Linked DNA regions of Oryzias latipes. The protein of the gene in region 7 purifies or fractionates together with the protein of the main gene of each other region. This does not show direct contact. Links are inferred from orthologs where the notes say so. Each region holds a gene or a part of one and is shown on either strand. Other genes may lie near its edges. The genes, in order: ift88, ift20, ift46, traf3ip1, ift172, ift74 and ift57.

Region 1 (3,500 bases), on a different chromosome or scaffold from region 7:
GACCGGAGTAGATCGCACTGTGTTCGTTATTTTAACCCTTTTTGATCTTTTTTTCTACTTTACAGTTTGCTCTATGAATTTATTGATATGTTTGTGATTATACTAAACAGAAATTTCACAATAAACCTGGTACTGTCCAAAACCTCAATGCCAAATGGTAAATTAGTGCATATTTTGCTGGAAAAAAAATCAAAAAAAAAAATCAAACAGTTTTTATCTTTAAAAACAAAAAATCAAACATGTAAAGGCAAAATAAAAATGTATAAATCCACAAGGAATGCAAAGAAAAGGTCAAAACAATGTGAAAAATCTATCAAATAAATGGCAAAATCCCACTGAACTACAGTACATACAACTTTCAATGATAAATTCCTAGTATCACATTTATGTGTCGTAACTCTTGTTATGCTTGTTGCAATACAAAAATTCCAAAGCTTCAATCTTTTTAAAACCTTAATGTTGAATTTTGAATTTCATTCTGAGTTTCCTTGCTGTGTTATTGTAAACAGTTGATGCGGTTGGCAAATTCACTAGTGAGTTGAGGGTCGGCTGAGGGTTGAGACAGTTGTTCTCTTTTTTCTTCTTCAAGTACTGTCATTTGATACAACCACAATTCATTTGTTTAATTTTTCATCACAAAACTGTTGATCAAAGCTCCTGAGTTTACATTTTCTCCTCCATGTCAGCTTCAAGTCTTTGTTTTGTTTTTTTCATTTCTTTCCCAACTGGATGAAAAAGAATGAGGGATGTCTGCCTTCTGCATTAATCATCTCCTTTAAGCTGTTGGGATTTATCACCTAGACAAGATGTAGTTTATTTATTTATTTATTTATATTTATATATTTATTTACAAAAGCTAAAGGATTTCTGCACACCATCCAGACTTCCAAAAAAAAAATGTATCTTTTCAATGATGGGCAGGGTTGCTCTACACCAAGGTCCTGCCCACAAATGTCTAATAAACTGCTGCTGCTCTACAAAAACTATGTTCCAGAATAGAGCACCATTTTATTTTTATTTTGGCTAAATAACCCCCAAATTAAAAGATCACTGGAAACGTTTTAAAATAGCTCAAACGATGATTGAAGTGGATCTTTAATGGTTCAGAATGAAATAGAGTCGTTGAAATTATCCGTTTAGTTTATTGTTTGCTGTTTTTGGCAATAATATTTACATAGATGCTCTGGTACTATCATAGATCATAACAGTGAGCAGAAAAATATGTGTCTTATATTACTTTTTGATAAAAAAAAGAAATGTAAAATTATTTTTACATTATAGGAAATATCCAACCATCCTGCAATGAAATATTGAATACCTGCTAAAGGGTAAAGGCCTGTTTTATGCAAAAATCCCTTTCGGGGTCACGGGGGTTGCCTGTCCCGGCTTCTGTTGGGCGAAGACGGGGTACAAACTGAACAGGTCGATAGTCTGGAGCAGGGCATGCAAGCACTCCCGTACACAATCACACATGTACACCTAGGGACACTTTAGCACTACCAATTAACCTGCATTGTGGGAGGAAGCCAGAGTGACAGAGTGCAGAAAACCCATAAATAAAGGCTTGAATAGGAATTCACAAGTAACTCATCAGTTTTTCCTTGATCCAAATCTTTTAGTAAAATGAGCAAACCTGGTTTTGAATGAGAAAAATGATCAAATAGAAGTTTAGTTGACTAATGACTCAGTGGGTTTGAATGGATTTGATTGAACCGTTTGGCTTATGGGCCTCAAAGGGTTCTAAAATTTGACACAAGGGCCAGAAGGCATGGAGTGATTTGGTCATCCACCTCATAGGAGAAAGAAAAAACATGGAGTTTGGATGAAAACATGCTTCAATTTTCAATTTTAAGGTTGTGAACATTTCAACTGTTGCTCTTTAAGAACCAAAAACATGTCTCCATTGTAGACTTTGTTTTTGAAGTGGATAAAATTGTTAGAAATGGAATTTCTGTTTTGAAAGAAATATCTTAAAAAATCTATTTTGACAGTAGGAACGTAATAAAATCTTATTTTTAATTTTTTTTTAAATGAAGTGTTTGTTAAATTTTTGCAAGTAAACTATAGAAGAGTTTTCTCTTCATATGCTGATGTGTTTAGAAGCTTTCATTCTTTTGGTGTTCTAGTTGTAGAAGATCTATCTAAAAGGGAAAATGCTCATACTTGGTTTATATTGTTAATCAAATTCATCTGGATGAGAAAAAAAGAAAAAAAACCCTGTTTCTGATCAACTGGTTGTTGTATGTTGTGTAATCAGGCAGTGGAAACACTGAAGACTTTTGAGAAAAAGGACAGCAGAGTGAAGAGCGTTGCAGCTACAAATCTCTCCTTCATCTATTTCCTGGTAAAAGTCTTTTTAAATATCAAAAGTGTTTTTTTATGTGGGGATCTAATCGTTTTCTCTGTTTCTGTAACCTGTTTGACCCCTTCCAGGAGAAAGATTACGACCAAGCTGATCGATACGCAGATCTTGCTATGAACGCTAACCGCTACAACCCTGCTGCTCTCGTCAATAAGGGAAATACAGTGTTTGTCAAGCAGGATTATGAAAAGGCTGCAGAGTTCTTCAAAGAAGCTCTGAAGAATGATTCCTCCTGCACTGAAGGCCTTTACAACCTGGGTAATACTGGAGCTCTTCATGGAGAACTAAAACAGTGACAATTCACTTCATTTCAATAATAACTAAGTGGACTTGTGTTGAAACAGTTTACAGCCTTTATTACCAAAAGACATAATGATGAGTACGGAAATATGGCACAGCAGTTTCTGTTTGTCATACATTGTTTGTGATACATATTTTTGATCACCCAGATTAGAGAAAGACTCCTGTCAGCCTAAACGTCTTTTCTTAACGCCTTAGTCGGGTAGATACAGGCTGTCTGCGAATGAAAAATGGCCAAACCTGTCCAGGACATGCAGGTGGCTCGCAGGAAGTTTTTCAGTCAGCCTGTACAGAGAAAACTTTCATGCACATTTTTTTTGCAACGGGCATGCTGCAGAGTGTCAGGTAGTAGAACATTTAAACAAAATGTAAGGGTAATATAGGTTGGACGCAAGCCTGATGTCCAGATCTTTAATTTTTTCAAGCTCACTAAAACCTGTGCACTGCACAAAGAGCCCATTAGTGCTGTTCATGTGATAAGTGTGCGCTCCTTCTGAGCAGTCTGTGTGTTAGGAATAAGGAAAGTAGACAATCAGAGCTTAGTGTGTGAGGACATCCTAAAGGGCATCTTAATGGCACTTATGTTTCTACTACATGGCTCTTGCAAGCTGGATTTTCACGCTCAGTAATGAGCCAGTTTGCATACCTTACTATTGACTAGAGTGTGATATAAGTGCACCACCGTACGACAGCATCATTCATATGTCATTAGTGTGGGCAACTGACATTGTCCTTAAGAGTACTTCACAATACACTTACCACACACACAGCAATGGTACATTCTACTTCCATGACGTCCCTTGTGACCCTGCACAGGCCTAGACAACCCAAAAACCCA
Region 2 (4,253 bases), on a different chromosome or scaffold from region 7:
CAGGCAACTGAGCCATCCCTCCTATACAGAGACGGAGAGCTATATCTGGGTGGAGGTTTAGTGAAGGTAGTGGAAGTCCATGTGGGTGATTATGTACCTGGAGGAGTTTAGAGGCTGGGTACTTCAGCTTTTAGGCAACAGTGCCAATAAAGTCCAGGTAAGAACAAACCAGGTAAATCGTCCACCAATCCACACCATGAGATAATCCAGTGCAGAGCAGTAATAACAATAAAAACAAAAAATCTAACAGTGAGCAGCAGCTACAAGACATATCAGGATGAAAGCTTCCTGATCTATCTGAGAAGCCTCCAACTACATTGACATGAACCTGAGCCAGCTTCACAATCCGCCTCAGCTGAGCATGTTTGTAGCTATTAACAACTCCAGCAGCACTCAGTAGTTCTCCGATTCCCCCCCCCCCCCCCCAGCCATAAAACTCCTCCATGTTTTCCATGAAAGGCCTAATTAACAAATGCATAATTTTTTTTTCTATCTCCTGCAGTGGAAGTCTCAGAGAAGAACTAGGGGATGAACAGATACAGGATGAAAGGTTTTGACGGAAAGGTGTAATATCTGAGTAATGCTGCAAAAAGGGGACTTTTGGGACAGTGTTCTTTAATAAAGCGTTTAAATGATACTGATAGTTGTTGATCTGATTTTCTAGTTTTTTCCTGCTTAAGAAAGTTTTTTATGCAGGAAAACATACTCTGAATGGGATATATTTTTTCTTTAGTGTTTGTATTAGTTTTAAATTTAACACAGCCCATAAACACCTTGATAAAAATCTACGATTTTAAGGTATGTACTACTGATGAAAGCATGTGTGCATCCTCTTTGTATGTTACACTTGTATTGATTTTGTGTCATATCTTGCATGTGACAAATTTGCAATTGGTCAAGAAGGGGAAAAGAGAGATGTCAGTTGTGCATTTTTTCCAAAAAAAAACATAAAACAGTATTCCATGCTTTCATTACATCCCCGTTGGATCACTGTAACAATGTATCTCAGGCAGATGGGCTCCCCTCTGGCGCCTCCAGCTGGTCTAGATAGCTGCTGCTCATTTCCACTTGAAGTTTCAGTGAAGCCACATCATCCATGTCTGTACATTTTAAAGTGTTCTTATGAGTGAACGAAAATGTCTTTTAAAAAATGTCTTATCATCTCAATTCATAAAGAACTAGTTGGTTCTTTGAGCTTATCTCTTCATCCAGTCATGACGTTTGAACTTGCGAAAGGAACCAGACTTGTCTAAACTTCTACCGCTGGGTGGGTCTACCTACTGGGGTGTTTAGCCTAACCTGGTTTAACTATGAGGATGAACCTGATGATTGCACGCGCACATGGTGGCTTTAAAACTGACTGTAAATTGATTCTTGTTTTTAAATGAACGATAATATCAGAAACACGTGAAAAAGACTTCTCGAGAATGTGTACCACCAGAGGTCGGCGGTAAGCTAGTGCGCACGCGTAGTGGCGCTTTGTGCGGTTGCCTTGGTAGCAGGAGGAGGAAGAGGCGGAACGTCTTAGTAGGACCCCTTATGAGGAGGACCGGAGCCGTGCAGAGTAACGTCAGGGGTTTATTAAGGTGAGTGTCCGTTTCCACAACCAAAGTTTAGTTTACTATTCTTTACGAATGGTTAACGGAGGCTAACAGCTGTTAATTTGTCATCTCCTACGTATTAGCTCGTTAGCTGTTAGCCGCAAAAAATCGAAGAGGGGAAAAAAAGATGGTTGAGAGGTTCATACAACGTGTACAAACACTTCTGCCAAAGTCTGAGACTGTGGAGCTCCAAGTTTAGAGGCATTTTTTGAGGTCGCCGGGACAGAAAAACTCAACGTTCTTGTTTACTCAGATCTAGTCTGAGTTTGTTGCTTATTTATTCATTTATTTTTGACGTATTTTCTTACTGTAGTGTAGAAAATCGATGCTTGTGACGTCACCCATAGATTTTTTTTTAAAGAAAACTTTATTATCTAAAATACACAAACAATGTGTGCAGATTAGTCACCAAAACAATTCTTGTGGCATGGATTACAGCTTTGAACGGCGCGATAATCATTTAACGTGGTTAAAAACATGAAGGGGGGTTGTTTAGGTGTAAATGTAGAAATTAAAATAAATAATCTTCATTCATTGAATTGGTGCTAAATGGACTAAGATTCACAATAAAGATGAAAACAATTTGTACAGTAACACTACCCCCCCCCCCCCCCCCCGAAACCAGGAAGTACCCAACACTGCAGTGCTATGAAAGACCGCTGGAGGCAGCATTTCACTAATTTTAATGTTTAAAAGTCTAGCCCAGCTCAAAAACTAAACAATGTATATTTTGTTTCTGACGCTTTTTGGATGTAGAGAGGGTATAACAGAGCCACACAATTACGCAAACTGCCACAAACACTTCATTATTATTGTTATTATTATTATTAATCAGATTAATCCATCCTGAACTCATCTGTTCAGGGGGGATGGAGGTTGGACTGCACCAAGGATCAGCTTTAATCCTTTTTGTTTGCTGTAGTGCTAGACAGACTGACAGAAGGACTGACAGGAATCTCTGTGGAGCGTGATGTCTGCAGATGACCTGTGGATCTGTAGTGAGCGCAGGGAGCAGAAGGAGGAACACTTTAGAGAGGTAAAGGTTTGTTCAGGAAAGGAGAGGAATGAAGGTTAGCTCCAGAAAGACTGAATGTGTAAATGAGAGGAACTAAAGAGGAACGGTGAGGTTACAGGGAGCAGAGGAGAAGAAGGTGGAGGACTTTAAATACATAGCTCAGAGGTGAAGAGGCGTGTGGAAGCAAATTGGAATGGGTGTAATTTGTGTGTTATTTTTATTTGCTAAAACGTTATTTTTGTAAAAGCTTTTAAGCGCAATTTTAGAGTTTTGAATTTAAATAAACATCTGTTTATGCGGTTTCGGAATGTTGGACAGACATCTTCATTCCTCCATTTGTTTCTGAAAACTTTTAACACTGACTGAAGGTCTGTTCATAAGCTTCCAAGTACATAATACTATGGTAAATTATATTATTTTGTCCTACTGGACTGGACTAAAGTAATGCAGTTGCGGAATTTATCTGTTGTGTTAAAGAAATAGACAAGCCAAAATGCAAAGCTTTCAAATTACTTCTCAATCTTTGTCCTGTAAGGCAGTAATTGTATCTTTCTAAACTCCTGCTGGTTGTTAACAGTCCATAACTGGACTTGTGGCTGACGCTAGACATCACTGGACTGTATCAGCATGTTTGGTAACTCTGGTACGGTCAGTAAAGTATTATGGTGAATGGAAGAAACGGTAAGCATCAGTCCCAAGTCCTTCAGTGTCCGTTACATCCAAAAGGATAAAGTCAAATCTAGCCTACATACATTCATCCATATGTGAAACAACTCTTTATAATAATTTTTTCATTTTAAAAGATGTTTTTTTTCTTTTTAGACTTTATAAAGAGTGTTTATCATTGTGGATCAAACTCCTGCGTCTGTCAGGTGGTTAAACTGGTGCTGAGTGTTTGAGGAGTTTTGGAAATAACACAATATTTGACCCACAGGAGACTCCATGGCTAAAGATCCGTTGGCTGAAGCTGGCTTCCACTTTGACGAGGTAAACAAGCTGCGGGTTCTAGAGCCAGATGTGAGCCAGAGCACGGCGGAGCTGAAGGAGGAGTGCAGAGAGTTTGTGGACAGTAAGAATCCACGGATCTGTTGTCCACCCCGTCCCACCCAAAGCTCCTATAGGTCTGTGTCTCTGCAGAGATCGGACAATTCCAGAAGATTGTGGGCGGTCTCATCAGCACAGTGGACGGGTTGGCCAAGGAGGCGGAGACTGAAAAGATGAAGGTGAGGCTCCCCTCTTCTCAGGTTAGGTCAAAACCTACAGTTCATCAGTGTTGGCAGTTATAGTTACCCAGTACTTAATCCTATAAGTAATAGATTTAACCAGTTGAATTATTCTATAATAAAAGTAACCAATTTTAGCAGGAAAAAACTATTTACTTCACATTAAAGAAAAACTGTTTTTTGTAGATTTTTTGGACCAGTTTTAACAATTCAATTGGAATGAGTAAAATAGACCCAAACTTTTATTTAACATTATTTACATTGGAGGAACTCCAACACCTTCTGGTAAGCTGCCCAGTTTCCTCCTGACAGACATGTTGTGGTGGAAAAGCTGCTGGAGCTGCGTTTGATTTACTGTTTTTAGTTTATGTCAAACATTCAGTAACCCGATCAAACAAAAACTGCTCCTCATTG
Region 3 (2,867 bases), on a different chromosome or scaffold from region 7:
CCACCCTACCGCTGCACCACGGCCGCCCAAGATCACAAATCATTGAAGAAAAAAGGTTCAGAGCACTGTCTAGTGGGTCTAGATGACCCAACTCCCAATGGTAAAGTGCCCAGGATAGAACAAGGGTTACATATATAACTTATCCAACTTAAATTAATTCAACTTGCACCTACCCAACTAACCTTCAACTAAGCCTGCTCCGGATGTGTTATGTTCAGAGCATGAGTTGCTATGGCAACTTGACATACCCTGAAACATACCTCCATTTCTGGAACCGAAAACTGAAGTTATCAACTTCCTTAGCCTCAAATTTACCGTGGGAGCTAGCATAACCTGCTTTCTGGAATAACCCCCTGCTCTGCAGAAACTATGTCCTAGAAAACGACAGGCTGAAAACGTCATCATCACTTAAAGACCACAAGGAATGCTGGGAAAACAGACCAGAAGAGGATCAGAGTGGGATTTGAACGGACAAACCAGAACAATCAGAGTCTGAGGACGACAGTTAAGCATTCAGTTTATTCAGGAGCAGAAGCAGCAGAAGATCAGAACTAAGACCAGGTTCTGGAAAAACTGGGCTCCTGTCAGAACCCGGTAACAGGTACCAGAGCTCACAGGTGGGGCTTTCCTGGAGACCCCCTCCATGGGTAGTGAGGGAGGAGGACATGGATGGGGTGGCCCCGCCCCCTCACCCCCTGCTGGTGAAGTGCAGAGAGTCCCTGAACTCCAGGTAGAGGCTGAACAGCAGGTGCAGGGACTGGATCCTGCCGCTGTACACGGGGATGTCCAGCAGGCCGCACGCCACGTCCACGTACTCCCCCAGGCTGCAGGACAGGTGGGCGGGGGGCGGCTGCAGGCGGCCCAGCTGCTCCTCCATCTCGGGGGGCCACTCCTGCATCAGGCTGTCGATGTCGGGCATTGGGTGGCTGTAGTGCACGCTGGCGGGGGGCTTGGAGCGGTGCAGGGCGCTGATGCTGTCCACCCAGCTGTCCACGGCCCGCGGGTTGGTGTGGGGGCTGGACACGCTCGCCACCTTCTGCATCTGAGGGGGAGGGGTCAGAGGTCAGGACCAGAACAGACCGGGTCACCCTCCAGAACACGACTCAAGACAACTCACAGTCGTGTGTGTGTCTACAGGTGTGTGTCTGCATGTGTGTGTCTACAGGTGTGTGTTTGCAGGTGTGTGTGTGTGTGTCTACAGGTGTGTGTTTGCAGGTGTGTGTGTGTGTGTCTACAGGTGTGGGTCTGCAGGTGTGTGTCTACAGGTGTGTGTGTGTCTACTGATGTGTGTCTGCATGTGTGTGTCTACAGGTGTGGGTCTGCAGGTGTGGGTCTACAGGTGTGGGTCTGCAGGTGTGTGTCTACAGGTGTGGGTCTGCAGGTGTGTGTCTACAGGTGTGGGTCTGCAGGTGTGGGTCTGCAGGTGTGTGTCTGCAGGAGTGTGTCTGCAGGTGTGTGTGTGTGTCTGCAGGAGTGTGTCTGCAGGTGTGTGTCTACAGGTGTGTGTCTGCAGGTGTGTGTGTGTGTCTGCAGGAGTGTGTCTGCAGGTGTGGGTCTGCAGGTGTGTGTCTGCAGGAGTGTGTCTGCAGGTGTGTGTGTGTGTCTGCAGGAGTGTGTCTGCAGGTGTGTGTCTACAGGTGTGTGTGTGTCTACTGATGTGTGTCTGCATGTGTGTGTCTACAGGTGTGGGTCTGCAGGTGTGGGTCTACAGGTGTGGGTCTGCAGGTGTGTGTCTACAGGTGTGGGTCTGCAGGTGTGTGTCTGCAGGTGTGTGTCTGCATGTGTGTGTCTGCAGGTGTGTGTGTGTCTGCAGGTGTGTGTCTGCATGTGTGTGTCTGCATGTGTGTGTCTGCAGGAGTGTGTCTGCAGGTGTGTGTGTGTCTACAGGTGTGTGTGTGTCTACTGGTGTGTGTCTGCAGGTGTGTGTGTGTCTACAGGTGTGTGTGTGTCTACTGGTGTGTGTCTGCAGGTGTGTGTGTGTGTCTACAGGTGTGTGTGTGTCTGCAGGTGTGTGTCTGCATGTGTGTGTCTGCATGTGTGTGTCTACAGGTGTGTGTCTACAGATGTGTGTGTCTACAGGTGTGTGTGTCTACAGGTGTGTCTTCAGGTGTGTGTGTCTACAGGTGTGTGTGTGTCTACAGGTGTGTGTCTGCATGTGTGTGTCTACAGGTGTGTGTCTACAGGTGTGTGTCTACAGGTGTGTGTGTCTACAGGTGTGTGTCTACAGGTGTGTGTGTGTCTACAGGTGTGTGTCTACAGGTGTGTGTCAACAGGTGTGTGTGTCTACAGGTGTGTGTGTGTCTACAGGTGTGTGTCTACAGGTGTGTGTGTGTCTACAGGTGTGTGTCTACAAGTGTGTGTCTGCATGTGTTTGTCTACAGGTGTGTGTCTGCAGGTGTGTGTCTGCAGGTGTGTGTCTACAGGTGTGTGTGTGTCTACACGTGTGTGTGTCTACAGGTGTGTGTGTCTACAGGTGTGTGTGTGTCTACAGGTGTGTGTCTGCAGGTGTGTGTCTACAGGTGTGTGTGTGTCTACACAGGTGTGTGTGTGTCTACAGGTGTGTGTGTCTGCAGGTGTGTGTCTGCAGGTTTGTGTCTACAGGTGTGTGTGTGTCTACACAGGTGTGTGTGTGTCTACACAGGTGTGTGTGTGTCTACATGTGTGTGTCTGCAGGTGTGTGTCTGCAGGTGTGTGTCTACAGGTGTGTGTATGTCTGCAGGTGTGCGTCTGCAGGTGTGTGTGTCTACAGGTGTGTGTGTGTCTACAGGTGTGTCTTCAGGTGTGTGTGTGTCTACAGGTGTGTGTGTGTCTACAGGTGTGTGTCTGCATGTGTGTGTCTACAGGTGTGTGTCTACAGGTGTGTGTGT
Region 4 (3,500 bases), on a different chromosome or scaffold from region 7:
ATTTCCTGTGTGGTTCTTCTCTTATAATGGGTCCAAGTTACAATTCTATATATTTCCTCCTGGAAATTTTCGCGAAACCAGCAGGAACTGTAGTCCTGAAAAAATATTTGTAACAGAGGGGAAAAAATGTCCTTTCCTGTATAGTCCTCACAGAGAAAAAAGGATGAATACAAAGAAACTTTGTTCCCAAGATGTCAAATACTTTTTCACAAAACAGGAAAGTCTCTAACGAGAATATAAATGAAGAAAATAAATAGGCATACCTCAAAGTTGAGCAACCCAAGGAAACAAGCTCCTTTTGCTCCAGACATCTAGATGTGTGTATCAATTGTGTGTGGTTTGTTAGGGGCCATGCTAACCTGTCTGGTTATAAGCAATTCAGCTTCACTGGAGGAGAACATTTCTGAGGTTTCAGGGAACTGCAATTACACCTCTTTACTCTGTTTGTTTACCTTTTTTTTCATTTTTTTTTTAAGTAAATGCCAATGTTGCACTTGGTTGGAAAGGGTTCATTGCAGTGGCGGTTCTACCCTGAATTACTCCCCGGGCGAGGCCCTCCTCTAGCGCCCCCCCCCCATAGAGTCACTTTGTCCATTTATTGTAACTGAAAATACAGTTAGGAAATATTTAATAAACACAAACAATCTGAAATAAATATTATAAACTACAAATCACACTAATAATACACTAGAATAAATGTAACTGCAGCACTAAGAACAGAAAACACTAACTAAAACCTAACCTTTGTGGCCTTCCTGATGCAAGCTTGTCAATAACGTCATCAAATGAAATCTGCTCCCCCCCCTGAATGATTGATACTAACAACAGCAGGTTAGTGAGTTGCTCCTGAGACATTGGTGATCTCAGGTATGACTTGATCAACTGGAGTTTTGAAAAGCTAACAGCAGCAGCAGCAGCAGCAGCAGCAGCAGCATGCTACCATCACAGCTTATTTAACATTATGAACTAATATACAACAATAAAACACAACAAAAACTTTGTGTTACAGCAGAGCAGACAGACACACGAATCATAACTAATGTTACAAGTTAAGGCAGAGCAAACATTTAAGAATAAATATCTTAAAAATGACGTTATTTGCAATATTTGGGCCTACTTCAGTTTTGGTCATGATAGACCAAACAAGAGATTTTTCCTCTGCAACGTTGTTGTTGTTGTAGGGCAGGTAGCATTCGAATTTAGAAAACGTGCATCTAGCTATGCGATAATACCCTTTTCTTTGTCTCTTTTCTCCTCTTCTTCTCTTTTCTTTCTAAATTGGGCACCAGCTTTGACCTTTTTTCTCCATATTTCAGATGTTTTTGCATTTAGCCTAAATGTCCTGACATAGGTATCAAGTCTGTCGACTAAACCAACTGTCATCTAAGTGAAGAATTTTTTTTTTGTTTCCCCATTTTTTATTTGAAATAACCAAAAAAGCATGATTTTTTTATACTTTTTTTATACCCGCAGCCCCCCCCCCTCCCGTTCGTCAAACATTTCCAGCAGGAGCGCGTGCAGCTGCACCCAGGGGCGCCAATTCGCTACATGGCGGCGCAATTTTTATTTTTATTTTTTCATGAAGCACTGAGCCGCGGCCCGCGACCGTTGCCCCCCTGGAAGAAGATCCAGCCAGGTTTGCGCATGCGTTTTGTGCTCCGTGCTCACCTCAGCCTGCACCCTTCACCCCGCGCCCCCTCCCTTCTCCTTCTTCACCCCGCGCCCCCTCCCTTCTCCTTCTCACACACATTTGCGTCTACTTCTCAAAGACAGCAGGGAGCGCAGCTGCGGGGCGGGGGCGCCGCCAGGTTTCAGGCTGTTACAAACTCTGTGATATAAGTAAACCAATAGTGATGCATAAAGTATTTTACAAGAGCTGAGCCGCTGGCGCCGCCCCTCCGTCATTTTTCCGCCCCGGGCGATCGCCCGTATGGCCCGTGCCTAAAACCGCTACTGGTTCATTGGAAGCAAAGTTCACAGAGAGAAAAGCTCAAACAAATGACAAAACTTAAAGAACTAGAACCCGTACTGCCCTCTAGTGGAGACAGAAAGACTACACCGTCCACAAACCTGTTCTTTAGATCTGAGGGAGGAATGGGGCAGTTCGTGGTTCTTCTTGACCTCAAGGATTTTTTTCACCAGGCCCCCTGGGGAGACAGAAACAGAAACATTCAATTTCTGAGGTAAACGTGGCACGCTGTGCTTTGAAAGGAGAAGCAGAAACGTCTGACGGTGTACCGTGCTCCTCCTCACTGTCCAGTTCTCGAGCGGGTTCCTGTGAACGGGAAATAAAAAATAAAGAAATAAGAATCCAAACAGTCTCCCTATGTTCAAACTGACATGTGAGGCACCTACTCGATCGCTCTCAGGAACGCTGAGGGGTGGAGGGGGTGCCTCCTCCACGAGGAATTGCTCGTCATCCTCCTCCTCATCGTCTGACATCTTCTTCCCGTCCATGATGACAGGTGCTCTGGGCTTGGCACTTGACAGCCTTCAAAACAGGAGCTTCGCTTATTTACAAGCGCATTTTAGACAGTGTTTTCTGAACCTGCTTCTAATTTATTTGGTTGATTACTTTTCAGTAGGACAAACACTAAGAATCGGGCGGCCGTGGTGCAGCGGTGGGGCGGTCGACCCATAATGAAATTGCAGGTTCGATTCCCGCCTTGCACGCCCATGAGAGACACTGAACCCCACCTTGACTCTGGTGGGAGGTTGGCGCCAGTGTTCGGCAGCAGAGCCGCCACCAGTGTGTGAATGTGTGTGTGTGAATGTGTGTGTCTGAGTGAATGTGACTGTAAAGCGCTTTGGGCCTTGAAATGCGCTATATAAGTATACGCCATTTAAGAATAAACGTGAAAACCGTGAGTACTGGATGCCACGAGTGACGTCAGGTTTACCTCTCTGATGGGGGGGCGTCAGCATGACTCTCTTGTCTCCTGACACGAAACCGTGCACTGCCCGGTCGGGCCATCAGCCTACTGATTTACCATAAAAATACATAATTACAAAGGGAAAAATAAAACAGAAAATAAGCAAATATGTACTCTGGGAGTTTCTTTCAAACAAATCAAAGTTTGGGTTGTGAGATGTTTACATGTGTCCCTTGAGTGATGGCAGGTCAAAGTGTAATGTATGAAGTGAACAGACCTGTTGTTGATGTCAGATGACATGGAGGATCCCACAGTGTTCCCATTTTCCTGAGGATGTGAACTTTGGGCAAAACGTGGATCTTCATCTGTCAGTAGAACATGTGGAGCGTTAGTCAGATTATAATGCTAGATCTCCACAGATCCTGTGTTAGCAAAAGGGACTTTAGGATCACTTAATGTACTGCAAAGTCCTAGACTCTCTATAAATGATAGAAACTTCAGATATACCCAAATCTCTTCTTTGTAAACCTGCAGAGATTGAACTTACATTAAAGGAGTAAAATCTAGATACAGCTTTTCAACAAAGGAGTGGATACGTAAAGCGCATTCCAAGGTTCTGCAGTGGTT
Region 5 (3,979 bases), on a different chromosome or scaffold from region 7:
CGTGATGCCCCGACAGGACGCCGCTACCGGAGACACTGATACACAGCGGAGATGACCGAGCTGAAGCCCCCGGGGGCCACGAGCGTGAGCGCGGCGCTTACCTGGAGGTCAGAGAGACCACGAAGGACTCCGTGTTGTAGATGGTGGAGGATTTGTTGGTGAGGGTGTCAGCAAGACGCACCTGAGGAAAAGAGCGTTTTACTCTGGAAATGTTTTATTTCCTAAACTGAAACTTCACGCCATCACTTCAAAGCTTCTTCATCGTAGTAAATAAATGTGTGTCTTCCACATGAGGATGGTTTGTTAAGGATGTTGTGGCGACCTACCCGCCCGTCAGCCAGCCCGTAAACGATGCTGTGCTCCTCGGGCCAAAGCAGGCAGGTCACGAAGGTCTGCGAATAAAGGCGGGACAGAGACTTCAGGGAGGAGACTCACCATGGCTGCACGGAACGGTCCTCGCCGCTGCTGCACTCGCCTGCTCTGTGTCCTGCTAAAAGAACCACCCAAAGCAGTTTTCCCAGCATGCAGTGGTCAACCCCTCCCCCATGTGACACCACCCACTAATGCAACACTACCATCCTGGACCAGATTCGATCACCTGCAATTTAACCAGAGAAACCAAAACTCTGTGGTTCTGATCAGCTTGGACCCTTACAGCCTCTGCCAGACTAAAGTGATGCACTCTTCCTCACTAAAGTTCTGCAAAGTGGATCAGAAGTGCAGCTTGAAGACGATTGGGTTCTGGTTTCAGCGTCTCTTCTTACCGTTTGAACAAACTTGTTGCAGATGGTCTTCTTGTCTCCCCTGTGAAAGACACAGACAGCCGTCACCACCAGACGAGCAGCAAACGACAGCAGGGCGGACACCGCGGCTCGTACCAATCCTCCCCGATCTTGTAGACGAAGATGATGTTGTCGGACTGGCCGATGGCGATTTTGGTGGAGTCTGGGGAGAACGCCATGGCTGTGACGGCGTAGCTGTCCTTCCCATACTGACAAAACGGGACATTTGAAAAGTTCACTGCAGGAACGCAAACTACACCAGCAGGTTATTATCAGGGCCGGCAGAAAGACCAGGAAAGCCCCCCAGTTAGAGGGGCTTCATAAACATGCAGGAATGATGGTGAGGAGGTTACATTCAGCTGTTTTCAGACCGGCCCCCTCCAGTCTGGTCCATGCTCACGGCGCTCCCAGTGCTCTTTTAATTATGATGATGCTGTTTTTAGCCAAAATCTACAAACCTGCAGAGCAGCAGGAGTTCATCAGAAATTCACCTCTGACTGCTGGCATGGAGCAACTCTGCCCCCACTTCCCATCATCTACCCGTTTACAGTCTGCCCTGCTAGCTTACAGCGCCTCAGACCCATCCGTGCAGTTCTGATCCAGATTCCAGATCAGACCAGGAAAACAAAGACGTTCATGGATCTATTTGTCTGACAGTGAATAAATCAGAATGGGGCGGAGCAGGGAGCTTGAGGCCCCGCCCATTGTTGCCTCTACATCACAAATACAATCTTTTTTAGAATACATTTTTTCATCTGATGCTGACTCACAAAAAGTGAAATAAAGAAATAGTCAGAAATACAGTTATGAGCCTAGATTAGGTATAAATGTTGTCCATCTTCAAAAAAATGCCACGTGAACAAAAAAAAAGAACTAAAAATTAAATTTTCCTCGGAGTGGGTCTTTAATTCTGAGTTATATATTTTTTCTAATTGTTTTATTAATTTTTTAAAATTATTTTGTCTTGTCTATTTAACTGCCTGGTGTAGTTTTGAAGTGTTGTTTTTAAATATTTTATCTTAATTTGCTACATTTTTTGTTTTCCTTCTAGCCCATTTTTACTGAAAAGGTAACTCGGAGCAACATCATATAAAGTCACAACAACGCCGAAGGTGTTATGGAATTAATTCAGCCTCAATAATTAGAACTGCACACAAACTGTTTTACAAACACACACGCTTTGATTCACAACCTATTGTGATTCTGAAACATTTATTGTGTTTTTGTGAAACAGCGTGCACATTCGTGAGAAACACCTATTGCGCATGTGTGAAACGTGTGTGAATCAGATGAAACGTGTGTGCATTTCTGAATATTGAGACGAATGAACTCCATATTGTTGTTAACTGCTGTATAAATAAAGATCGATTCAAATAAACTGTAGATAAAGGAGCAACACACTAGTCTCTCTGTGAACCCTAACAGTACAGACAGTGACGTCATGAATGACCTCACAGATTAACCGTTTTTTCGGGGGGGTTTCCCACGCCGGCGGGACGTGTCTCACCTTGGGGTCCACCGGTTTGGTGGAGAACTTGTCCCTCCTCTCCCCCTGCTCGTCGTACAGCAGCACCACCCTGTCGGGGGTGCACACGGCCACCTTGTTGTTGTTCGGAGCCCACGCCAAGCACGGCAGCTTCGCCACCTTTTCCTGCGAGATGCACAAAAAACAACTAGGGCTGCTCCGACAGACTGAGGGACCGGGCGAAGCTCGTCTCATCAGTTCAGACGTTTAAAAACGCTTAACCGAGACTTCAGAGAGCTAAACCAGCGCGAGGACTCAACATTTCTCGAGTCTAATTTACAACAACCCAAACGTCGAAATATGAGTCCTTACAGCAACCCAGCTCACCAAAGCGACCATAAAGACTGCCGAAAACTCACCTGCGGTGGTAAAAGCGTCTTAATGTGCTTCAAAATCATTTTTGTGTCTAAATGACGCTTGAAGAAACCTTTTCAATCCGTTAGCATCGAGGGAGCATGACGCCCGTCTCCTTGGTTACCGTTGGGGGGGGGCGGGGAATCCTGGTGCATTTGGGTCCGTTGGAAAAAATAAACATCTCCCAGCAGACTACCTGGAAATGGGATTTCCTTTTTTTCATAATGGTCAGTTTTTATTATTTATTTATACCAAAAGCAAAAGAAGTCGTAATTTAACGCAACATGAAATCTTAAGAATGTCAAACGGTTGCACGATACTGTTGCACCCGTGTTTAATGCTAAAACGAGGAACAAGAGCTAAAAGTGCCAAGAAAAAAACGGTGATATGGTAATCCGCGAGTAAAATAAAAAAGTATGATCTATCGCGGAGTTCAAAAGTGCAACAAGTACGAGAGCAACATGGATTTACCGTGTTAAAGAAAAAACGATCCATGGAGATGCCGGGGATTGAACCCGGGGCCTCATACATGCAAAGCATGCGCTCTACCACTGAGCTACATCCCCTTCCACGGACATGATTAAGAGAAATATAGATTTTAAATGGACACATGTGCGCAATGACCTGACAGGTGTACACTATACACGCCTTAACCGTGATGCCTTCTGTACCATTTAAACTCCTATGTGTTTATGACTGTCCATTTGCCAAGTAAAATTCCTGTTTCTGTTTCTTAACTAGGACATATTTGTGCCAGTTCACAAACTGTAAATTAAAGTCCTACATTTATGAGAAAAACGTAACCCAAACCCAAATTGAAAGGTACAGCAGTGGTGCATTGGGTTCATAATTTCTGATGGGCTGTACTAACAAAGACAGAGAAATCTGTTGACATCAGGCACTCTAAGACATAAAAAACTTGTTGACGGTCCCTTGGCAGCCAGCTCGCTGCATGTCTGCATTCACACCTCGAAGAGAACAATTCTTATCAAAAGGCAAAAAACATCTTCTTTCTTTTGAAATGCGTTTGTAGTTCACTCTCTGGGTTAATACAAAGGGATTGAGATACTTGCTGTCACATTTGAACGTTTATCAGAAGAGTTATTGAGGCCGGAAGTCCGAATCTGTGAAGATCTTTCTGACTTTACCGAACTGTTTGGTCGGTCTGCTCTGCGGCTGCGCGGCCTTCACTCGATGGACTGTAGACTCACTCCGACTTTAATCTTGTACATTTACGACGTTAAATCTTGAGAAAAGAGTAGAAAATTTACGATGACTTGGGGGGAAAGTCTTAAATTTACGACTTTAAATCTCGTAA
Region 6 (3,500 bases), on a different chromosome or scaffold from region 7:
CGCGGAACTCCGGCCGTCCTCCGGACCTGCCTCGCCGGACGGCGCGGAACCCCGGCCGTCCTCCTGACTCCTTGGACTCTTATGCCCGTCGAGGTTTGACCTCCGGGGCCCCCCCCTCAGTTGACTTTGGGAACCTCGGAGCGGTTCCTTGAGGGGGGGGTACTGTCATGGTTTGAGTTTCTTTTGTATTGGTTTTTGCTTTCTGTCTTGTTCTGTCATGGTTAAGTTCTGTTTCCTGTTTTATTTTGAAAGGTTTCCTGTCTTGTCTTGTGTCGTGAGTTTTACTTCCTTTGGTCCCCATCTGCCCTGATTGTGTTCACCTGTGTCTTGTCTGCCCTGTCTGTATATAAGTTCTGTCTCTACCTTCCTCCTGTGCTGGTCCATTAACTTCTGGTCGTGTGTTTAACGTCTTCATGTGTCTTCGTCCTGTTCATGCCATGTTTCATGCCACGCCACAGTGAGTTTTGCTTTGTCATCCTGCTCTGCAGCGCTTTTTGTTCTAATTAAACCCCTTGCCCTTGACCCCGTTTGCCTCCCGTCTCTGAGCTTGGGTCCTACCGGCTCTCGAGCCACCCCTGCACATGACAGTTTTAGCTCATTAGTTAGCCAGTTCCAAGTCCTTAATGGCAAGTCAAACTGGGGGTTTGAATGACAAATCATGATGCTCCAATTAGTCTTAGCTTCTTGATTAAGAAGTGAATAACTAGCTGCCAGAATGTACCAGAATGCATCTAAGACCATGTATTTTACAAAAATTTCGCTCCGCGCCCGCCATATCGCTCAAAGAAAAGTTCAGGGATTTTTTCCTTGCCCGGCTTTCATCACTGTAGATACTAACCTAATATATTGTCACCGCGGCAAGTGTGTGTGTTGGGGAGCAAACATTTTCTTTTTCCTAGAGGGGGCCTTGCAAAAAATAATTGAGAAGCACTGAATTATAGAGTCATTTCGCTCCGGTGAGCACCATGTCAGCTGAGAAAAGCCTCCTATGGAGGGCAAACTGTTCCAACACAGTCCATATTGCAGAGTCCCCACCTGTCCTGCTGAGGGGCAAGGTTCTCTGGCAGCCTTGTGGATGAACCTTTTCCTTTCAGGGGAGCATCTTAAAGCACATGCAGACGCTCCCATGCAGGGTTGAGTACATTCAGAGATTTTGATCTCCCAGACACACACATCCAGTCAGCTGACCTTTAAAATTATCAAAAGTCAACAAATGTGTGTGTGCTGATAGATCTTGAGCTGTCACAGGCAGTCACAGACACTAAAGGTAAATCAATTTGCTTTTGCCAAAGATGTTGAAATATAAATTTATCAGAAGGCTTCAGTTTATTTCAAAATCATCAACTGAGCTACTCCAGAACATCCACACAGTCAACCGGTTTATTCTGCTAAAAAGAAAAAAGGAGCTGGATCTTCTCTAAAATGAGAATAAAAGAAGACACTTACCTCCACTCTCTGAGGTGAACCCCTTTCACCTGTTGCTCAAAAGCAGCCAGCACAGCAGTGACCTTTGTTCCTTGTATAAGATTCCACCGACTGCTCCTGCTAGCTAACCATTTATGATCCATCAACGCCGTTCCTCACTTTCCTTCTTATTCAGCTTATTTAGCTGTTGAGCTTTTAGTTTAAAAAAAACTTAAATATATTAAAAGGAGTCATTGTGTTTATTTATATAAGGATCCCTGAGTTTCAGACAAACCAAATGCCGGAAAAGCTGTAAAAGACTGAAGAGGTGAGAAGGAGGAAATGTCCACGAGGAACAAGAAGTAGAAAGTATACCTTTGCACTTTATGGCAGTGCTACACGTACTCTGATAGGGCTGCTTGCGACATGAAATACATGAAATGTGTTCTGTGTCAGTATACAAGCAAGAAGTTATAAAACCTGCCTTATCTGAACACTTTGATGAAAAAATTAAATCCTATCATTCTCTCATCCATGTTTCGAATTTGAATGTTTCATATCCGCCTGCTTCTTTACATGTAGCTCAAAAGCACTGTTCTCCACCGCTGTAGGAGAGAGGAGCAGATCAAGGCCATTGAGGAGGAGATCAAGAAGGAGCGACAGATCGCAGACAGAGTCGTTCAGTCAATGCCCACTGCCAAACAAGAGAAGTACTTCAGTATGGCGGCGACCAATGAGCAGCTGCTGCAGGTACAACTGTCATTTTGATGACAAAGGGGTGTGGCCTGCATCTGTCTCATGTGCACATATAGAGGAATGGCACAAATCCACATTTGGACTTCATTTTTCTTCTGCCTTTGTGTGGAAATTTCACCCTATGGCTTCCACAGAAAATTGCGTTTTTTAACAAGTTCTTGTGGCATTTTTCTTATTATGGATGATACATAGAACAGAATTTAAGATTATTTAGAGTATTTCTTCATTCAAATAGTTGTGAATCAAGAGCACACAAGAAGTGCCTTTCGAAAAAGATCTCTTTTGTGACAGCCGCTGAAATGCACTCTAAAAAGAAAAAAGTTGATCCAATTTAATTGAATTACTTCAATTGGTAACACCAGAGCCAGTTTAGCTCGTGCTGGTTTGCGGCGCCTTCCATCCGTGAAACCCGGGTTCGACTCCGGGCTGCTCCCTGTTCCCTTCTCTACCTCTGCCGGTTCCAAGCCCGGTTTGAGAAGGTTGCGTCAGGAAGGGCATCCGGCGTAAAACATTGCCAAATTTACCATGCGACTTGTTCGCTGTGGCGACCCCTGATGGGAGAAGCTGAAAGTGGAAGAAGACTTCAATTGGTAACACCTAATTGAATTAAGTTTATTCAACTTAAGTTTTTATGTCTATCCAACTCAATGTTATTACATTGAGTTGGATAGACATTTAAGTTCATTTAAGTTAAACTTAAATGAATCATTTCAATTGGTAACACGTAATTGAATTAAGTTTATTCAACTTAATTTTTATGGCTATCCAATTCAATTTGATAAATTGATCTAACTTAAATTTAAAAAAAATTAAATTTTGTTTATACAATTAAAATTGACAGATTTTTCTTAAGTTTCAACCAATGGTCCTTGTAATTTTCATATCAAAGACAAGCATGCCCCAGCGATGTCTCGCATTACAAGGCAGGAAATCATGTGTAAAGATATCTGTCTTTAATATTGGGACATACAGTGTTTTACCGCACAAGGGGGTTGGTCATCATCCTCTACCAAACTCTAACTCATGGTATAGAAATAAATAAACATAACAGTTTAAATTACTAGTTCAAACAGCGTAAAACAGCTAGACAACAAAACCCATGGACAAAAACTCACACTTAAACCCCAATCTGCCCAGACAGGCAAAAAAAATGGTATCCCACAATTGCTCGCACTGCCTTTCGTTATGACGTCATGACTTGATAGCTTCACGCCAAAGTTACACCAACTTAATTTAATTAAGTTGATCGTGTTATTTTTAAGTTAAATGAACTATTAAAAATATTTATTTTCACCAAACTAAATAATTAAGTTACATCTACGTAAAAAAGTTTATCTTTC
Region 7 (4,144 bases):
ACCAAAGGACGTCAGAGTGGTAGGACCGAATCGATCAAAGTCATCATTTCTATGGCAACCACTCTCGCCAATCAGGAGTGAGCTTGTGGAAGTCCACACCCCTAGCACTTTAAAGCCGGCTCGGGAGAATCTGTCAAACGTTTTGAACGTTCAATGTCAGGACACATGCTTTTATTGAGGCACCTGATTGGTCGGTTTATAACTTGAATAAATTGAATCATAGAAGAAATATCAGAGGGAAAAAATTTGGATTATGAAGAACATATTAAAAAGGTATCAGAGCAATAATGGTCATCCTGACACATAGAATGACTGAGTAAGAGTTGTTTATTTATCGATGGAAGTCTTTGGCTTCTTGGAGCCAGCGGGTCCTTCCTATTAGGAACGCGAGGGGGGGGGGGGGGGGGGGCGGAGTCACTCAGTCCAGCTCTCATCTACAGTCAATGGGAGTGCTCTCTCTTGTCTGTATAAAGACAAGTTTTTCTCACATTGTGGAAGTTCCGCAACTTCAGAGACTCCAGATCCATCGCAATTTCCTCCTCATCCTCATCTTCCTCCTGAAGTCACAATTAGAAAACAATCTTTTAAAAAATCAAATACAAGAATGAAAAACAAAAAGGACACCAGTTTTTGCAAAAGCGGCGTTGAAATAAGCTGTCAGCATTTTTCTCTGTGAAGTGCTGACCAATATTTCCTCCTCTGCTGTGCTGAGTGTGACTTCTGCATCGTCCTCCAGCATCGACTCTTCCTCCGGGGTTTCTGACGGGTAATCTGGCCTAAAGGGGAGGAGGGAGAAGAACACTTCATCTCAAACTGGAGCAGCCAGTGAGGCCTCGCTGTTGTCAAATCTGTAAAGTCCCACCACAGTGATCTATCTGATGTACTGTAAAAGTGTCCCCCAGTGTTTTTTTAATTATGATGGTGCAGATTTTAGCCAAAATTAAAAAAAAAAAAGTGTCCTTTACTAGGATATCGTTTCTGCAGAGCAGCAACAGTTCATTAGAAATACACCTTTAAGTTGTGGGGGGGACTATTGGGGCAGAGAAAGCCTGTCCTCATTTCCCATCATCCCTTTGTTTTACACTCTCTTCCACTAGCTTACAGTCCCTCACATCCCCAACCTAACATCACCGGTACAACAAAATATGGGGAGCCATATTGCAGCTTCAGGAAGGTCATTTTATGCTTTACTTTCTTCATATAGGTCTTCTATAATGAGAAAAATGCCACAAAACATTAAAAACACCACAAACACAATTTTAATCGGAGATCTTTAAGGTGTGGCGGCCTGAACTTAACCAAACTGACTTCTGACCACAACCGGTATTGTTGGGACCCAAGAAGAAAGACACTCCAACCTTGCAGCTGTAAAACTGCTTCATTCATTCCAGTCTTGAACTGGCTCCAGTACCAGCCTAGAACCCGTGTCTGGCCCAAAAGATGTCCCAGCGTAAAGCAGAGCAGAAGCACCTTTTGAAGGAGAAGTTTCTCCTCTTCAAAGCCTCGTCGGCCAGTCGGTCCAACACCAAGCAGACGTGCTCGCCTGAGCCCGTCTTCAATTTGGAGGGAGGGAAGTCCACCTTTACGCCCTGAAACCCACCAGGGTCACAGTCAGAGGTCGTCCTCACACATCTGAGATCAGAGTCTAAGTCACACAGAAAGGGACATATTGGATCATCTGCATGTGAAACAGCAGCTCACAAAGGCTCTCAGCTCCGCCAGGATGTTGGACACGGTGGCGTTGGGCTCGTCGTGCTCCCGGGGTTCGGTGAACGGCCTCCCTGCCACGTTGATGAGCCAGGCAGCGATGATGGTGAACATGTAAAACTGCTCACCCGGATTGGAGGACAGGTGGGAGTTGGAGACAAAGTAGTGCCTGGGAAGAGAAGGAAGAAGATACATGAATCACAAGATCAGATCATGTTTGAAATGAAACACATTTAGGAAGACAACTTCAATAATAAGCAGTCTGGAAAGATGTATTACACTTTAGGCATTTATTTGTAGACTTACTGCTATTTTCTTAAGTGTATTTAAAATTGATTTAAAATTGTATAAAAATAAAGATTTAGTGCTCGGGAAAAGTACAAAATGTGATCAAAGCTGTTTTCAACTTTTGTCTTTGTTTTTTTCATTTAACACAATCGACGGTCCAGCTCAGGTTCTGTTCTATTAGCTCTGTTCCGGCAGATATCATCACTGCTTCTTATCGTGTTCTGCTTCAAAACGTCGTCTTCAGGGAGCTGAAATTCAGCTTAAACCCGTCATTTGGCTCGTTTCGTTCCTGACCTGCACACTTTCTTCATGTTGTGTTTGTCCAGAAGCTCCTCGTAGTTCAGAGCGTCGAGCTTTTCTAACAGTCCCTCCATCACCGACACCATCCGGTGAGCGGCTCCCGGGCCCCGCTCATCCTCCTCTGCCATGAGCCCAGCTACTTTTCAAACCGCTTTAAAATCCACTAAAAAAATAAATGTTTTCTGGGGCCTTGTTTGTTCGATTAGCACACGCTGCTCTGCTAGCTCAGGTTGACTGTAGGCCCGTTGCCTAGCAACCGAAAGCTAAGTAGCCCTTTTCTTAACACGTATTTCTTTTTCCTCCCTTTAAACTTTAAATATGCGCATTGAGAATTTGCTCAACAGCAACAAAACAACATTCAAACTGTCTGGAAAACAGAATGGGTGTGACCAAGTTCGAGGGCTCCGTCCTTAGCATAAGAAACTTGGTAGATTTGTTTGCTAACTTGAGTTTGATCTCTTCTTCTGCTAGAATATAGAGTCAAACATCGCCCCCTAGAGGGCGGGAGAGGGACCTGAATATTGGGACTGGGATTTTGTTCTTAAAATGAAAATATCCTTTTTGCATTTACTGAGGCATTTGTACACAAATACACCATGCAAGAAATTCTACTGTTATTTTGATTGTACTATCTTAATCTCAGATTAAAAAAGAAGGTAATTTATGTCCAACAGTGCATGGAGCCATCTAAAAGGCTTAAAGTTAAAGTGCATCATCTTTCTGTTATTCTAAAGTGAAAGGAGCAAAATGAAAATACAAATGTTTAACAACCTGCTGATAGTGGGGAAAAAAAATTCCAAAAAAACCCGTTAAAACTACTTCATTTTTTTTAGGTATGTAGAAGGAACTTAAAATGTAAGGTATTTTGAAACTGAAGGGTCAGCTGTAAATTTACAAGGACATTGGAATTAAGATATTTTCAGATTAAATTGATTTTTTCTTTAATGTTTTATGATGCTGCTCAGGCATTATTATTAAATACGTTTTTTGGGTTTTTTTTTTGCCAACAGGGTGTCTGTGTTTTTCTTTCCTTATAATTTTGACCAATACTGTCATAATTTTGGGTACATATTTTTTGGACAAACTTTTTTATTTTCACATTTATTTTGAAGATTTCTTTTAGAAAAAGGTTGACGGGGTGCATAATCATTACAGTATAACACCCATCATTGTGCTTGTTTCTTTTTTAATACACTTATTGACAAAAAGAAAAAAGGTACGAAAGCAAAATTAAATGGAATTCTTTTTTTTAAAGGAAGCAAAATCTCTACATATAGATAAAAGATAATAAACAGATAATGTCACCTTTAAACTTTGATTAAATTCCTTTACAATTAAATGCATATGGTTTTTTTTTTTTTGGGGGGGGGGGGGGGGGTGTTTCGTTTTTGCACAGAACCTCATAATCTAATTAAATTCCAAAACAATTCCCCAAAAAAGTTTTTCCTATAATGGATTGTGGGTGTTTGTCAGTTTGCCAATAAGTTTGTAAGGAGTTCAAACCTTTAACTTCGGTGTTTTTAAGTAGAAACACATTTGTTCATCATACAGCGTTTAACTTGCAGAACTTTATTGACACAGTAAGATGAGTAACACTTGTCACGGAGAGCGTCTCTGCGTCAGGCTGAAGAGGCCCGACGTCCTTTCAGTGAGACGTTTCTCAAATGGAAAAGTCTCTTCATGTCTTTCCTCCTTTTAAAAACATCTTCTGCATCTGGAGACAAAATGTAGGAAATAATCCTCTGAAGAGGTACAAACAGTAATAGCTTTAGTGTTCACGCGTGACAGAACACGCGAGCGAACGCAGGAGTGGAGGAGGCGTCCTGCCGCTGCTCCCACTTCCATCTGC

The links.
Region 1: the proteins of ift57 (region 7) and ift88 purify together in Homo sapiens (affinity purification with mass spectrometry; 3 studies listed by BioGRID and IntAct, counting the BioPlex papers as one, with this or other methods). This does not show direct contact. The link is inferred for Oryzias latipes from reciprocal best matches to the Homo sapiens genes IFT57 and IFT88.
Region 2: the proteins of ift57 (region 7) and ift20 purify together in Homo sapiens (affinity purification with mass spectrometry; 3 studies listed by BioGRID and IntAct, counting the BioPlex papers as one, with this or other methods). This does not show direct contact. The link is inferred for Oryzias latipes from reciprocal best matches to the Homo sapiens genes IFT57 and IFT20.
Region 3: the proteins of ift57 (region 7) and ift46 purify together in Homo sapiens (affinity purification with mass spectrometry; 3 studies listed by BioGRID and IntAct, counting the BioPlex papers as one, with this or other methods). This does not show direct contact. The link is inferred for Oryzias latipes from reciprocal best matches to the Homo sapiens genes IFT57 and IFT46.
Region 4: the proteins of ift57 (region 7) and traf3ip1 purify together in Homo sapiens (affinity purification with mass spectrometry; 3 studies listed by BioGRID and IntAct, counting the BioPlex papers as one, with this or other methods). This does not show direct contact. The link is inferred for Oryzias latipes from reciprocal best matches to the Homo sapiens genes IFT57 and TRAF3IP1.
Region 5: the proteins of ift57 (region 7) and ift172 purify together in Homo sapiens (affinity purification with mass spectrometry; 3 studies listed by BioGRID and IntAct, counting the BioPlex papers as one, with this or other methods). This does not show direct contact. The link is inferred for Oryzias latipes from reciprocal best matches to the Homo sapiens genes IFT57 and IFT172.
Region 6: the proteins of ift57 (region 7) and ift74 purify together in Homo sapiens (affinity purification with mass spectrometry; 3 studies listed by BioGRID and IntAct, counting the BioPlex papers as one, with this or other methods). This does not show direct contact. The link is inferred for Oryzias latipes from reciprocal best matches to the Homo sapiens genes IFT57 and IFT74.

The regions. Positions count from the first base shown.
Region 1 is NC_019879.2:11,385,552-11,389,051, reverse strand, and holds part of ift88 (intraflagellar transport protein 88 homolog), read left to right. Parts: intron 1-2,257; coding exon 2,258-2,344; intron 2,345-2,433; coding exon 2,434-2,620; intron 2,621-3,500. UniProt on the Homo sapiens protein: Positively regulates primary cilium biogenesis. Also involved in autophagy since it is required for trafficking of ATG16L and the expansion of the autophagic compartment.
Region 2 is NC_019871.2:17,867,075-17,871,327, forward strand, and holds the start of ift20 (intraflagellar transport protein 20 homolog), read left to right. Parts: upstream 1-1,453; 5' UTR 1,454-1,586; intron 1,587-2,523; exon of another isoform or gene 2,524-2,637; intron 2,638-3,550; 5' UTR 3,551-3,558; coding exon 3,559-3,685; intron 3,686-3,753; coding exon 3,754-3,839; intron 3,840-4,253. UniProt on the Homo sapiens protein: Part of intraflagellar transport (IFT) particles involved in ciliary process assembly. May play a role in the trafficking of ciliary membrane proteins from the Golgi complex to the cilium.
Region 3 is NC_019876.2:246,288-249,154, forward strand, and holds the end of ift46 (intraflagellar transport protein 46 homolog), read right to left. Parts: intron 1,043-2,867; coding exon 689-1,042; 3' UTR 501-688; downstream 1-500. UniProt on the Homo sapiens protein: Forms part of a complex involved in intraflagellar transport (IFT), the bi-directional movement of particles required for the assembly, maintenance and functioning of primary cilia. May play a role in chondrocyte maturation and skeletogenesis.
Region 4 is NC_019879.2:26,415,032-26,418,531, forward strand, and holds part of traf3ip1 (TRAF3-interacting protein 1), read right to left. Parts: intron 3,239-3,500; coding exon 3,151-3,238; intron 2,982-3,150; coding exon 2,901-2,981; intron 2,492-2,900; coding exon 2,356-2,491; intron 2,276-2,355; coding exon 2,239-2,275; intron 2,148-2,238; coding exon 2,071-2,147; intron 1-2,070.
Region 5 is NC_019882.2:1,041,181-1,045,159, forward strand, and holds the start of ift172 (intraflagellar transport protein 172 homolog), read right to left. Parts: upstream 2,801-3,979; 5' UTR 2,706-2,800; coding exon 2,667-2,705; intron 2,434-2,666; coding exon 2,290-2,433; intron 992-2,289; coding exon 879-991; intron 805-878; coding exon 765-804; intron 393-764; coding exon 327-392; intron 182-326; coding exon 102-181; intron 36-101; coding exon 1-35. UniProt on the Homo sapiens protein: Required for the maintenance and formation of cilia. Plays an indirect role in hedgehog (Hh) signaling, cilia being required for all activity of the hedgehog pathway.
Region 6 is NC_019878.2:5,915,709-5,919,208, forward strand, and holds part of ift74 (intraflagellar transport protein 74 homolog), read left to right. Parts: intron 1-1,035; exon of another isoform or gene 1,036-1,320; intron 1,321-1,446; coding exon of another isoform or gene 1,447-1,568; exon of another isoform or gene 1,569-1,969; intron 1,970-2,015; coding exon 2,016-2,154; intron 2,155-3,500. Other genes in the region: leucine-rich repeat-containing protein 19, read right to left, coding at 1,447-1,568. UniProt on the Homo sapiens protein: Component of the intraflagellar transport (IFT) complex B: together with IFT81, forms a tubulin-binding module that specifically mediates transport of tubulin within the cilium. Binds beta-tubulin via its basic region. Required for ciliogenesis.
Region 7 is NC_019875.2:10,101,821-10,105,964, forward strand, and holds the start of ift57 (intraflagellar transport protein 57 homolog), read right to left. Parts: upstream 2,801-4,144; 5' UTR 2,424-2,800; coding exon 2,290-2,423; intron 1,877-2,289; coding exon 1,702-1,876; intron 1,590-1,701; coding exon 1,471-1,589; intron 777-1,470; coding exon 686-776; intron 558-685; coding exon 489-557; intron 1-488. UniProt on the Homo sapiens protein: Required for the formation of cilia. Plays an indirect role in sonic hedgehog signaling, cilia being required for all activity of the hedgehog pathway.